2 linked regions of the Daphnia pulex genome follow. The protein of the gene in region 1 purifies or fractionates together with the protein of each later gene. This does not show direct contact. Links are inferred from orthologs where the notes say so. Each region holds a gene or a part of one and is shown in the gene's direction. Other genes may lie near its edges. The genes, in order: high affinity copper uptake protein 1-like and ubiquitin carboxyl-terminal hydrolase 32-like.

Region 1 (7,230 bases):
GAAAATTGTTTTATTTTAGAAGTGAATGACTTTAACAGAGATTCTAGATTGATTAGGCAACTCGTTTCAGTAGTACTGAAAATAAAATCTTGGGCTTTTAAAATCTATAGATCATGCCAGGCAAGAATGATTGCTTCTTCTGTTGATCTTCCCTCGACATTAATGTAGGGGCATTTGTTGTCATCCAGAATTTGTACTGGGCATTCAATGGTGCATTGAGTATTCCGTCCAACTTGGGCATTCAATGGTGTCATTGAGTATTCCGTTCAACTTGGGAACTTGTACAGATTATAAATACGACAGTGGTAAATAAACGTCAATCCCTGGGCCCATAACCTGTTGAGATTAGAAACTATGGTGCAATACCTTTTAGTTTAGTTGAAACACTTTGGTGCTAAGAAAGAATGAACTGCATTCTTTGTTGAGACAAAAGAGAGTGAGTGAGTAGCAAGCAAGACGACACTAGTCTCGACTCAAGAAAAGGGGGGGAGAACAAACGTTGACATACGTATCACACAATACGTTGAAGCAACATTGAAAGAAAACATTCTCAGAAGTAGAGAGAAGGTTAAAAAACAACACCGTTGGGCAAAAGACTACACCCTTTACTTGAATTGTGAGAAAAAACTTCCGCATATTATTTTATTTTTAAATTTCACGGTCAAATCCATTCCTTTCACTAAAGGATGCTAAATAACCTTGAAATCTCGTTTGACGAGAGGTTATGCGAGCAGTCATCCCGCCCGGTGTATCCATGGGATAGGATACACCTGGTGAATCCCGTTTTCGCTTTTACCCTTGGCTGATTCAACCACACCCATGTTCCGCAATATTTTACTTTGAGCTTTAATCTGGAAAAAACTCGAATTTTGTTAAAGACAAAATTCATTTGGTGTGTTCCCGCTGTAAAAGGACTGTTGCTGGACCCGCATTTGTTTTGGACATATCAGCAAAGTGGCTGAGGAGTGAAATGGGTGGGATTCGTGAGAAAAAAGGTTCGCCAATGTCAATTTCTCGATTCGTCAGCTACACAACCGTTTCACGCCAAAAAAGTACTACAGGATATTTTTTCAGCTGGAAACCAAACGGCTGTAATCGAAATAACGAAATCGAAAGGGCTAGCTAGCACATCGTTCGTTTTCTTCCGCTCTGCAATAAAGTCTGATAAACACATAACCATTAATTTTTAAAACAGGAGGTGCCGGTGTGGCGGCAGGACCTTCTTGGTAATAAAATTTGTTATTTGCACTTTGCTTTTAGAGATTATAGTTATAACATTATTGTATTTAAAAAAAAAAATTATTCATTAATAAATTGTGAAACATAGTTTAATGTTTTTCGTCAAACATTCCATTTGTTGTTCCCTCTAAGAAAACCAGAGCATTTAAAGTTAAATAAATATTTCAAAGGGTTGTACAATGCAGCATGAAAAAATTAAAGAAAACTAAAAACTTGCAATAACATTTGAAAATGTTAGGTTTACCATGTTTTCTAATTCAACGTCATTGTTTTCCTCATAAACTTGTGATTTTCTTGCAGGAAGAACAATGGAATGATTTGTTGACAAACAACTTGTGTAATTAGTTTTACAACTTAATTAATAAATGACTTTCCAATTCAAAAATGTTGTAACTTTTCTATAAGCAAAAAAGAGCAAATAGGAAATTTTGTGTTTACCAAGATGTTTTCGCAAATACACGATTGCTTTCGAATGACTTTCGAATGACTTTAAACAATTAAAACATACATTAGCAATAGACTTAATCATGTCAAATTGAATTTTACCTTCAGCTGAATTTCGAGTGTCATCACACTTTATCTCGTTTCTCGTTTTTTTTTAAACAAAACAAGAGCAGACGACCCTTTTCTTCTACTGGTTGCTGATTTTAGCAGTTAATTAGAATGATTTCATATTTGAGAATTATCAGTTGATATACTGTTTTAAAAAATGAGAGGAACTTGCCTGTCAATTTGTTTATCTAGTATGTTATGACACCTAGAATTGATTCTGCTGCCTGTCATTTCGAAGGGTCACCATTGACCGACGATCACGCTTAACTTCGATACAACTTGACTATGCTTCTATGTCATTGTTCACGATTGTTTATCAACGGCAGGATATATGTCACCAAAATGCCAAAAGAATTTCATTAATAGTTTTTATTGAATGCAAAATAATTACAAAAAAATTTACTGATGTAACAAAACGATATCAAAAAGTAAACATTAACTGAGTCAGATCAAATATTTTAAACCACAGCAGCGGGAGCAGCGGTCGCCTGGACGAATGGGTAGGTGAAAGGAGCGCCGTAAGTGTAGGGGAATCCAGCGCGGTAGTTCAAACCGGCGTAGGGGTAGTAGTTGGGCGAGCAGATGAAAACAATGTGTTATCTCAATGATTTCAATACAATTTCTTTTTACGAGTTTAAAATTGATGTGGTTAAACACAATAGCAGACCTCCAGTTGTTAAGGCATCTTTTTTACAGAATTGTTGGGATGAGCGCTCATTTGTTGGCCATCTGCTCCTAGCAACACAATTAACGCAATGTTACCTACCAAACAACGTTCATTGTAGATGGATGATGGGTTAGTTCCATGTCAATCTATTTTAGATTTTCATAGATGGTAAAAGGACGTTCATTGGATGTAAAACGGCCGGTTTTTTTCTATAGCAGAGATGATGCGTTTTATTTATCCCGGGCATTTGCACGCAAATTAATTTATTTTCAGAGACAATCCGGGTGTGGTTATTTCTGCAAAGGGCAGATGACCGATGAACGCAGAAATAAAGAGCCAAACAAAAGAAATGATTTTATTAGCTGATGACTTCTTCAGTTTGAAGGTTGTTGCGATGCAGGTGGAGGATTCATTTCTGTTTGTGTTGCGCGTTCGTGTGGAGATCGATCACAAAAACTCGTTTTGCTCTTGTCCATCGAATCAACACAATGCCCATCTAAATCTAATGACGTCATGCATAGTTAATGCAAATTGTTTTTTTCCAAAAAATTAATTGGGAAATTTAGCCGAGATGAAGACTGTCCCAACTGAAATAATTCAATCTTGTCATCCTTTCATGGTGGCCAATAATTCCAGTAGAATTCAAAGTTTCAAATTGGGCTGAATGAGCTTTCTTTTCCCAACAAAAGATGGCGGAGTTGAGCGGGAACATTTCGTGAAAATTAAACGTTCAAGTTTCACGCAATCTGAAGAGGAAAACAAATCGTGATCGTGCTGTCGCAATAAATAAATGATACCGAGTCTCTTTATAAATCATGGAGCGACCTTGGATTAATTTCGCAAATCTGATTGAAATTTGTCGATGTGACAAAAAGGATCTAGATTGGATTGGACTGTCTCAGAGTGGCAAAAAAAAACAAATGAGATATTCAAAGTTAAATATTTTGACATTAAATAACACGAAATCATTTTTGCGCTGTTCTTAAAGTTATTAAACGATCACTTTCATTCATCGATTTATTTTCGGGGTCATATTGAGTCGGCTGACAATAAAGGAAAAGACATTTCAGGAATTTGATTAAGGAATGGACAATACCGTCAAGAATGTCTTTTATGTAATGACAAAAATGCTTTAACCTTGGCTTGGATGATGCACCCGTCAAACAATAAGAGGATCATCGGTTCGTGTATAAGCATTTCAAGTGTATCCGGATATCCTCATAATTAATTCTATTCCATCAACTATTTTATAGCCGTGATGGTTGTACTGAAAATAACAAGATTGTTTGCACAAATGACTAGCTATATAGATAATTGTTACTGGGCTTGGTGTAATATAGCGACGGTTGTTATTTTGCGGTCAAAGTTTAACGAGATGAGAAAGGAAAAAAAAGGGGCGAATCGGTATGTGCAACTGGTATATTGTTCAATGTACGGATCGGGTGCTGTGTAGGAAGGATCACGTAGGCGGCTCTCACGTCAGGCCGACCGCTCTCTGTTCGATATCGAACGCGTTTAATGCGCACGGCACGACCGTCTGACGGTTACATCCTCCTCCCTATCGACTTTCGTCCGTCCAAGGATCATACTTTGCGCACGGCACTGCTCTCATACTCGGTAAACGACTAAATTCAAACCTCCGACTTCCCGCCTATAGAAATGAAAATTCAAATGAAATTAAAAGTTGAAAATTCGTAATAATCGAAACGAATGATTTGCCATTTAATTTTGCCGCAAATCGATTTGCATTGCCGCCAATTAAATTAAAATTCATTCGCTAGCGTCTAGTTTCGTGTTAGAGTGACCCGGTTGTACCTGTTCTGCGCACGGCACGTCGGTCCCATTGCTGCCGGCACTTCCCTGACGTCACGTCTTGTGTGGTTATTATTTTTAACAAAACATGAGCCGAGATAGTAGGAGAGAAAGAAGGGCGGCGAGTGTACGACGGGTGGAGCGACTGGTGGTGATCGGGAGTGGGGGGGTCGTATCCCCCCAACGCCGGGACGAACTCGGGGCGTCCGGTGATGGCGGATCAGCTGAGAGTGAACCTTAAACCACAAAACGCACAAAACTATTTTTCCATTTTTCATCGCCAGCCGATCCAATATCGCGACTAGGGAATACAGACATCCAGGATGGACTACATTTTGGATTATTACTCTACTCGGAATTATTTGTAATTCATTCTGTAGAATTCCGGAAACTGGTCCCAATGGCCCATATTTTTAGTTTAGCCGCCTGGTGCCCCCATCAACCCAAAGTGTCTTGGTCGACATTATATTTGTTGAGATTTATTTTTTTCTTGCTGCCGAAATGCCAAAAAAGTTTTAAAAATAGAGCCCCGAGTCCTAGTCTTCTCCCTTTAGCTTCGCCCATTTCTGATGTAATGGTCCGCTAGGTGGACTGGATTGCGAGTCATTTGAATGTAATGGGACGCACTGATCCTCTTTCGTCTTGAAATTAAAGGCTCATCAAAACCTGTTTTCCTGCAACAACATTTTTTTGGTCCAGTGCTGAGATTAAGATTAACCTGTTGTTATCATCGGAGATGAGCGATAACGGTATGCCCGGTCTAATCACGCGCGCCACCGCGGCGGTATCCTATATAAGCGACGCCTCCAACTGCCGATGGGCGTCAGCACTTGTCTTTTCTATCTCAGCCCCAGTGCCAAATCCTTGGTAGACTCAATTTGGGAGCCGATCGTGCAGCACTACTGGTAACATTCAGGTGAGAGCCCAGGCACATTTTCACACGTTTTCTCAACGAATTTTTTTTGGCAAATCGAGTTCAATAACTTTGCAAAACGAAATAACCACGGGGAAATGTGATAAAATCTTGTGTAGAAAGTGCAACTTTTTTTTTCCGCGCAATGTTTACAAAATGAGCGAAAGTTATTGCCTTTCACTTGAAAACCCCTGGAGCTAACTTTCCTCACTCCTCATTTGTTTGAAAAGGGAAAACCCGGTTGTTGGGTCACTTTTGGTTTCACACACATCTTTCCTATTTTCCAGTAGTTGTTTGCCATTCGTCCCTCGAGAAAGTCGTATACGTAAGCCAGTTGCATATGCCCTAAAGTTTCTCCAAGGTCGAAATTGAAACGTTGTTGTTTACATTTGGTAACGTTGTTGTTTTGGTTTATTTTGGTTACAGAAAATAAAATGTCTCACGATCACCACGATCATCACAATATGGGCCACGATGGACACGACATGGGCGCGCACGGTGCCAGCATGGAAACCACTACAATGCACGACCACGCAGCCATGGTTGCCGAAACCGCTGGACATAATCACGCCTCACCAAACAGTGGAATGATGATGATGATGCAGGTATTTTTAAATCTCTTTTTTTTAATTTGGAATCGAAACTATAATTAACCTAGCTCTTATATCTCTCTCGCAGATGTACTTTTACGCAGATTACAAGGCCGTTGTCCTGTTCCAGGGATGGGACATTCAAACTGTCGGTGCTATGGTCGGTTCTTGTATCGGCATTTTCCTGATGGGAATCCTTTACGAAGGATTGAAATATTTCCGGTAATTTATCTTTTTTTTTAACTATTGCAACCATTGATCGAAATAATTAAATATTATCTTTTATTTCTGCCCAGTGAGTACCTGAGTAGCAAACATTATACATCCGTCACTTACAACAATGTCAAAACTCCCGGTGAGGCCGGCAGTGAGACTTCTAGTCAAGTCAATAGGACGCCAATGAGGTACTACTACACCGAACCGATATTCCGAATTCTAAATGTAAGACGAGATTTGTGTTCTAAATGCTTTTGTCTTTCCTCCAATCAGCTTCAAGACGAGCGTGACCAGTGCGTCCCATTACATTCAAACGGCTTTACATCTTCTCCAGATGATCATTTCCTATTTGCTCATGTTGATCGTCATGACCTACAACGTGTGGCTCTTCATGGCCGTCGTTTTGGGCTGCACCGTCGGCTACTTTTTCTTCGGCTGGCGCAAAGGATTTCTCGTCGATATTACAGAACATTGTCATTAGAAAAATGATGCAGTTGATGATGACGTTTCCTCTCCTTCCACGGATCAACGGGATCAAGTGTGTGTACATTTTGTCACTTGTGTCATGGGGAATTATTTGGTTGTATTCCATTCGATTGGATTAATGACCGTTGTTATTATGGGATTATATTAGTCGGTATGACTACTCGACAATTCGAATAAATGAGACATTTTAGCAGCATCAATGGCTAAGTTGTGTATGTAAATGAAAACCACATTTCAGGAAAAAAAAAAGTTAATAATAATAAATCCAAGGACACGACACAATATCATTGCCACAACGTGTCAATTTTCCAAGAATTTTAAACAAACAGGAATTCAGCAAATTTTTATTTGTGCTGGTTTTTATAAGGTTAATTGTTTGTTTTTTTCTCAAATTTTCTTTATTTCAAATGAATGATAAGAGGGCAGAAAGAGAAAGAGGAAAAACATAAGACTTTTGTAATCAAGTATTTTTTTGTCATCAATTTTTTCTTTTTCTTCAATATTTTGTTTTGTTTTTTTCTTTCGAAAGCGTCTACACTGTCAACGAGTACCCTTGAACGTTTCCAATGACGACATTTCGTGGTTTCAGACAATTTTGAGTCCTACGTGTTACACAAGTATTTACATTCGATTACACTTAATTATAATAATAATTAAAAAAGGGAGGCGGGAGCTTGGGGAAGTGTGTTTAGAAGAGATATTCGGGCGCATGTGGAGGAGACGTTGGTGGTGGTCAAGGGGTTCTTGCATTGAAT
Region 2 (6,776 bases), on another chromosome or scaffold:
AATTAGGCTACAATAGATTGTTAAATGTGTTTTTTTAATTTTTAGCCCTGCCTAGCGAGAAAGGCGCCACTGGGTTGAACAATTTAGGCAATACTTGTTTCATGAACGCTTCCCTTCAGTGCGTAAGCAATACGCAAGCTCTAACCCAATACTTCACCTCAAGTATGCATCTTCTGGAACTCAATAGGTACAATGCAGTGCTATTTTCGATACTTTAACAATATTTACATACTTTTCGTTAACATTTCAAAGAGATAACCCCCTTGGAATGAAAGGCAATATCGCAAAGGATTACGGAGACTTGATTCGTGACATTTGGAAAGGAAGATCTCGCACGATTGCCCCGCTTCGCTTACGGGTAAAAATTATATTGGTTGAAAAATTGTTAACACATAAAAAAAAAAAAAATCTTTCTCTGAAAATAGTGGACGATTGGTAAATACGCTCCGAGATTCAACGGTTATCAGCAACACGATGCTCAGGAGCTTTTGGCATTCCTGCTCGACGGTCTTCACGAAGATTTGAATCGAGTTCATGATAAGCCATACGTGGAATTAAGCGACAGTGAAGGACGCCCGGATATTGTTGTAGCCCAAGAGGTTGTCACTTTATAATTTTTAGTTTATCGTCCTTCTTTATGATTGACTTCAATTTCAGGCGTGGGAGAACCATCTTTTGCGAAACCGTTCGATTGTTGTAGAGCTCTTCCATGGACAACTGAAATCGAAAGTAACATGCGGAGTGTGTCAGCGTGAAAGCGTACGCTTTGACCCATTCAATTACTTGTCACTACCTCTACCTCTCGAAAGTTACGTTCATGTCGAAGTTGTTGGTAAGCTTTTTTCACATAATAAAAAAATTAATACTTAGTTGATATCACAATGGTTTTCGTTTGCCGAACAGTGGTTCGTTTGGACGGATCAGTTCCAGTAAAATATGGTCTTCGTTTGCCGATGGATGCCACTTATCTGCTACTTAAAGAAAGACTCGCCGCTTTGTGCCAGGTCTCCTACGATCATCTTTTACTTGCAGAAGTATCAGGGGCAATGATTAAGGCAAGTTAAATCAAACATTACTAGTTAAATCAAATATTTTCATACTCATGGAAATTTACTACGTGATGCAGAGCTTTCCGGGGGTTAGCAACAAGGTTCGACCTACGTCTGGCTTTGCCTTATTCGCGTATCAAGTGCTGAACTCTTCTGAGGTCATCCATCTTCTTCCCACAAATGGTGGCCATATCGGCCTTGTAGACGGCGAAGAAGGTGCCAAAGATCAGTCCAGTCCGAACAACAACAAACTAGCTGATCATTCCAATAACCAAGCAGCGAAAGTCTTTCATATCAAAGAGGGCGGCAACACAAACACCAGCTCGGAGGTAAGACGACCCGTCGGTATCTGCATGAACGTGATGAGCACCGTATTCTGTAGAAAGGTATTCGCCTCTTACCATCATTATTATTTCTTTCCTTTTTTTATTTTTTGCTTATTTCCCTTGTGTCCTTTGTTAATTCTCCCTGCTTTTGTTCGTTAGTACTTGCCAACTAAATGGTCGTGGATGTTTGTTTCCTTACCCAACTCTTGTCTCATGTTGACTTATCTCTGCTATTTCTTTGTAATCCTATTTAGTGGTTCAAAATTAAGATTGTATAACGTCTTTTTTATCATATGTTGAAACCTTTTGGAATTCAATCGTGTATCAAGGTTTGAAGTTCTATTGTAGATTAACCCCTTAATGTGTGTTAATTCATCTCACATGGAATGGATTGGGATGTCTAGTTGTGTTTTTTCGAATACCTGTTTTACGTCGTTATTTGTTTATCGTTTTTCGTTTTGATCAGTTCATCAAGTTAAGCTAAATGTGAGATATTTAAGTTACTGAATTATTCTATGTAATTGATTATTAGAATGGTTCGTCAACCGTCGGACAGGAATCCCTGCCACCACGGTCACCTGCTGATCGTCCAACAACAAACGGTGGAACCAATGAAGACCGAAACGGTGGTGATCGCTCTAGTTTGGCCAGCACGAGCAGTGGCAGCGGTGGTTTGGGCAGCCCAGTTAGTCTCACGAGTAATAACAGTAGCGCTCAAGAACTAAACGGCGCTCTGGGAATGGGAGCCTCTTTTCTGGTCGTCTACCATCGAAAAATGGTCTCTTAAAATTCAAAATGTTTCCAGTTTTTTTGTCTGTTTAACTTGTTTGTAATTTTCTAGATACGACAAGATCTCTATTTCGTCTCTCCACACAAAACGCGGCCTAGTCTCTTCGGTCTACCACTATTGGTCCCTTTAGCATGGACTACGGATGGGGTTTCATCTCATCCAGGAGACGAAAGCAGCAAAGTGTTATTGCTACAGACCACGAGTCAAGACTTGTATAGATGTGTGTGGACACTGGTCTCTCGACTGGTCTCGCCTTCTCCACCAACTGATAGTGGCACTCTTCCGAATCACGCCCATGACTGGTAAATTCGCTATATTAGATGATTTCGTGAAATCTTGAACTTAAACGTGTTATATTTAGCGATGACAGTCTGGGCTACGAGTTCCCTTTCACTCTAAAAGTTGTCCAGGCCAATGGAATCCATTGTGGCCTGTGCCCGTGGACCAAATTCTGTAAAGGATGCCCGCTGCCACCGACACCTGACCCTCTACCGAACGGTAGTGAGACCAATTCGCCAGCAGTCGAAGGCGTCCTTAATTACTGTATCGCCGTTGACTGGGAGCCGACGGCCCTTCATCTTCGCTATCAAACATCGCTTGAAAAGGCAAGCTTGATTTCCAAATATTTAAGGTTCGCTTCTTTTAACGAGATTCATTATAGGTTTTTGACGAAGATCCCAGCGTAGCTAAAGCGGTTCATCAACAAACTGAACCAGTCAGTTTAGAACAGTGTTTGCAAGCTTTCACACGAGAGGAACAGCTTTCAGGTGACGAAAAATATTACTGTCCAAAATGTGCCACTCATCAGCCAGCTACTAAAAAACTACAAATATGGAGACTTCCTCCAATTCTGGTAAGATTAATATTTTTTCCTGTTATTTTGTTGTTGCCATAAATGTGCATGAATGAACGTCCATTTTACAAATATAATTTAGTATTTTAGTATTTATTAATTTTAATTTAATGAATTCATTCATTTTTTAGATTGTTCATCTGAAACGTTTCCAGTTTGTAAATCATCGTTGGATTAAGTCTCACAAGGCCGTTCAATTTCCACATAACAACTTGGATTTCACTGAGTTTTTAGCAGCTATTCCTAGCGAAACGCTAGTCCGTCACCGCCAAAAAGTTGCTTCTTCCACACCTCCCAACGGGATCGTCGACTCTGCTAACGACGAATCTAATGGTGATGATATGAATCCTAAGCTTTCCACTTCGTCCACTTCATATTCCAACGGGCATCCACCAAATCTTTCGGAAGTGATCAACGGCAATGAATCGACTCGCAAACGACTCGAGTCCACCTCGCTAATGACTCATCCAGTTCACGACGAGGATCTTATAGACTTTCATCAACATCGACTTCTACCAGGATACAATAAGCTGGACATAACCTACAGCCTTTACGCCGCTGTGGTAATTTAAATTGCACGACTTGAAACTCTTAAATAACGATTGATCAAATTTATGCTTCTCTTTCTAGTGTCATTCTGGAATCATGGGAGGAGGTCACTATATTTCTTATGCCAAAAATCCTAACGGTAAATGGTTCTACTACAACGACTCAACATGCAAGGTAAGAATTTTTCATAAAAGAAATTGTAAGCAGTGAAGTTTAAATTTTTTTACTACAAGGAATCATCGGCCAATCAAATCGAAGGACAGACAGCCTACATGTTGTTTTTTGAAAGAGATGGAATTGACATGAAGGCGTATCTTCCCAAATTACGGGAGCCGAGTACCAGTTCAGCCGAGAGCGCAAATAGTGACTCTACTGCAGGGAAAGGGACACCGGCAGTGATTGGATTGGAAGAAGAAGATGGCAAAAAGTGCTGCATCATGTGATGCATTATTGACCTATTTAGCCCTAATATTCCAGTCTTAAGTATCGAGTTTCACCTCAGAGCGAAATAGGCATGATCGCGCTCTAGTCACTCGCAAAGGTCAAACATTTCAACCAGTAAGTGGTTTGTATGATTGATTCTCGAGGTGCCATGCACCATCATAACTATCTCTGTCGAAAAATGTGTCGGTAGGATAGTGCAAGTCCATATGTAGTTGTCTGTAATGTTATCTTTTCCCCCCTCTGTTATGAATGTTATTATTGATTTGATTTTGGCCGATAGTCGTTGCTTATTGTTTTCTTGTGCCTTTGTTCCCAGTTTACCAAAACTCGTGTTAACATATATATCGCGGTGCACTCGTGAAAATTCGCAAACAGGTACGAACGTGGACATTTAACTGTGGGCATTATTTCTTTTATATTCAAACAATTTTGCTACAGTGACACGCAAGCAACTGACTTCATTCCAGTTTGTAATGCTCCATTAAGTCCATTTCAAATGTTTTGCTTTGTGGGACGTAGGTATTTTCGGATACGTCTGCGGCCCGTGTGTCTTTTTCTTGCTCTGTAAAATCAATGCATGTATAGCGTTTCATTCTTTAAAAATATTCCGTGATTTTACGCGTCTTGTGCAATTTAAAATATAAATGATGCGTAAATATATATGTACACCTTCTGATAATTTTGCTGATCAATGTTGTGATTGCATTCTGTATGTTGAAAAATGATAAAGACCGTTTACCTGGGTATCCAGCTCTTGTTTTAAAATCAATGGTCTCCGAAGCTGACAACGGAATGGGTATTATATGCCCTGTTCTTTGAGAAACTCTTACTTTTTCTCCTTGTTCCGTAAACCGCCATTCCACTTTAGTGCCTTTACTACTCCAGAATATCATTAGTATAGTATCATTAACAGGAAACTACTATTTAATGAAATTCTTACTCATCAGAAGGATCAACCAATGCAACCTCATTGGTAACCAAGAGGGGTGCTTCAGACTGAACCATTGTACCAGGGAAATCTTCTGTCCTACCGATTCGTCTGTAATGCACATTTAAGCCTTCGACAACTACCCAATTTCTTTCCTAAGTAAAGATAAATAAATAACATACATATTTTTCATATATACAAAATAATTCTTAATGATTATTACCTCAATGATTTGATTTACTAAACCTATTTTTCCTTTATCTTTTCCGACCAAGACTTCAACCTAATTCAGATACACACAATGATTTTTTATTTTAATAAGGTGAATTTGTCAATTTACCCTGTCTCCTCTAAAAAATGCCCACTCTTTAATTGGTTCCACAAAGACCTTTTTTCTCTTTGCAAGATTTTGTCTTCGAAACTCCTCTGTCCATGGTCGGTTCATTGTATACCTGCAAATTGAAAACACAAACTAATTGTACGACTGTTTTCTGACAATAAAATTTTTTTCATTTGCATGAAGGGAATACCTGAATTTTTTCTTTTCCAGGGTTACAGGCAGATACTGTGGTATGTCTTTTGGTGCTTCCCAATAAACCTATGATTAAAATAAAATAATCAAATGAAACATAGATATGTACTTACTGTATATTACACAAGATGATAACCATTTGAAAAATTAAGTTAAGATCTTGAGTTTAGGATGGACGTAATTTATTAAAAATCTTACTTGCTTCATAGCTCTTTTAATGTACGATTCAGGGAGATTAGAATATTCGGTAGAATATTTCCCTATTTTGGATAATATTAAGGTAAGCCTCATTTTTTGTAGGTTTTTGTAACAAAAATATATATCAGTTTGTGTTTTCAATGTGGTTTATTTTATTCTAGGATCAGTAGGATGGTATCGGCGCTACCGGCGGTACTGGATCGGTTATAATATTCTTCTGTCGGGCCCAGGCCCGCCAGATATAGACCATGTATAAACCGTCAGGGCGTCAGTAGCGCCTCACGTGGAAATCTTTAGAACTATTGTTAAGCATGCCTGTCATTACTGTCATAGACTCGGAGATTGTTGATTTTCAGTGCTTTAGAAGAATAAGTTTTGATATGTATGAAACATGATTGTATGCCGATCCCTTGCTTCGCGCGCGAGTTTCCCGATAGGGTTTTTTTTTGCGGAGTTTGTGTCTTTTTAGCTTTGGGTTCGATGTTTTTGTTCGATTAATCGTTTTATAGGGAATAAAAAAAAGCCCATAACAATAGGAACGGGAAAAAAAATTGCTAACCGAAATGAATCTGCCCCAAAAATTAAAAACCCACGCGCGAGTTTGACTCGAAAGTATGGGGTGTGACAACTTTCTTTATTGACACGACACAGCAATGTTGGGTCATGTATGTTGACATATTGGTATAGCTGATGTGATATTTCCACCAATCAACAAATTCTCATGAAACATTTTAATGGCATTAAAATAGATTCTTGAATGTGGAGGGAACCCTTATGATGCAGTGTCATTGGCTGAGAAATCGGCTCTTTTTTTGCAACACAAATTCCATCTATTAAAATAGCAACCATGGACGGATATCAACCTGATGTGGAGCTCTCAGATGATCCTTATGATACCAAGAGACTAAACACAGAGAACATTCCTTGTGTACTGACTTTGATGAAGGTTTGTAGGTTAAAACTTTAAATTTGAAATAAATAGTCTAATAATACTAAGTTTTCACTTTCAGATTGGAAACCATTTCCTAGTAGTTCCAACACCAAAAGAAAAATGCTGCAGCTTTTCTGGTATTAAAATGATTACTGCAGTTAGGAAAATTGACAGTT

What was found.
Region 2: the proteins of high affinity copper uptake protein 1-like (region 1) and ubiquitin carboxyl-terminal hydrolase 32-like purify together in Homo sapiens (co-immunoprecipitation; 3 studies listed by BioGRID and IntAct, with this or other methods). This does not show direct contact. The link is inferred for Daphnia pulex from reciprocal best matches to the Homo sapiens genes SLC31A1 and USP32.

What each region holds. Positions count from the first base shown.
Region 1 is NC_060017.1:8,209,614-8,216,843, forward strand, and holds high affinity copper uptake protein 1-like, read left to right. Parts: upstream 1-5,476; 5' UTR 5,477-5,544; intron 5,545-5,609; 5' UTR 5,610-5,617; coding exon 5,618-5,788; intron 5,789-5,861; coding exon 5,862-5,995; intron 5,996-6,069; coding exon 6,070-6,177; intron 6,178-6,262; coding exon 6,263-6,470; 3' UTR 6,471-6,671; downstream 6,672-7,230. Other genes in the region: uncharacterized protein LOC124193369, read right to left, coding at 587-608, 699-756.
Region 2 is NC_060026.1:7,321,393-7,328,168, reverse strand, and holds the end of ubiquitin carboxyl-terminal hydrolase 32-like, read left to right. Parts: intron 1-45; coding exon 46-187; intron 188-252; coding exon 253-358; intron 359-425; coding exon 426-599; intron 600-657; coding exon 658-832; intron 833-903; coding exon 904-1,055; intron 1,056-1,126; coding exon 1,127-1,435; intron 1,436-1,907; coding exon 1,908-2,153; intron 2,154-2,216; coding exon 2,217-2,467; intron 2,468-2,526; coding exon 2,527-2,770; intron 2,771-2,826; coding exon 2,827-3,018; intron 3,019-3,149; coding exon 3,150-3,581; intron 3,582-3,648; coding exon 3,649-3,741; intron 3,742-3,800; coding exon 3,801-4,010; 3' UTR 4,011-4,469; coding exon of another isoform or gene 4,470-4,573; 3' UTR 4,574-4,690; downstream 4,691-6,776. Other genes in the region: probable 39S ribosomal protein L24, mitochondrial, read right to left, coding at 4,470-4,573, 4,751-4,887, 4,952-5,094, 5,163-5,222, 5,280-5,391, 5,470-5,537, 5,670-5,762. UniProt on the Homo sapiens protein: Deubiquitinase that can remove conjugated ubiquitin from target proteins, such as RAB7A and LAMTOR1.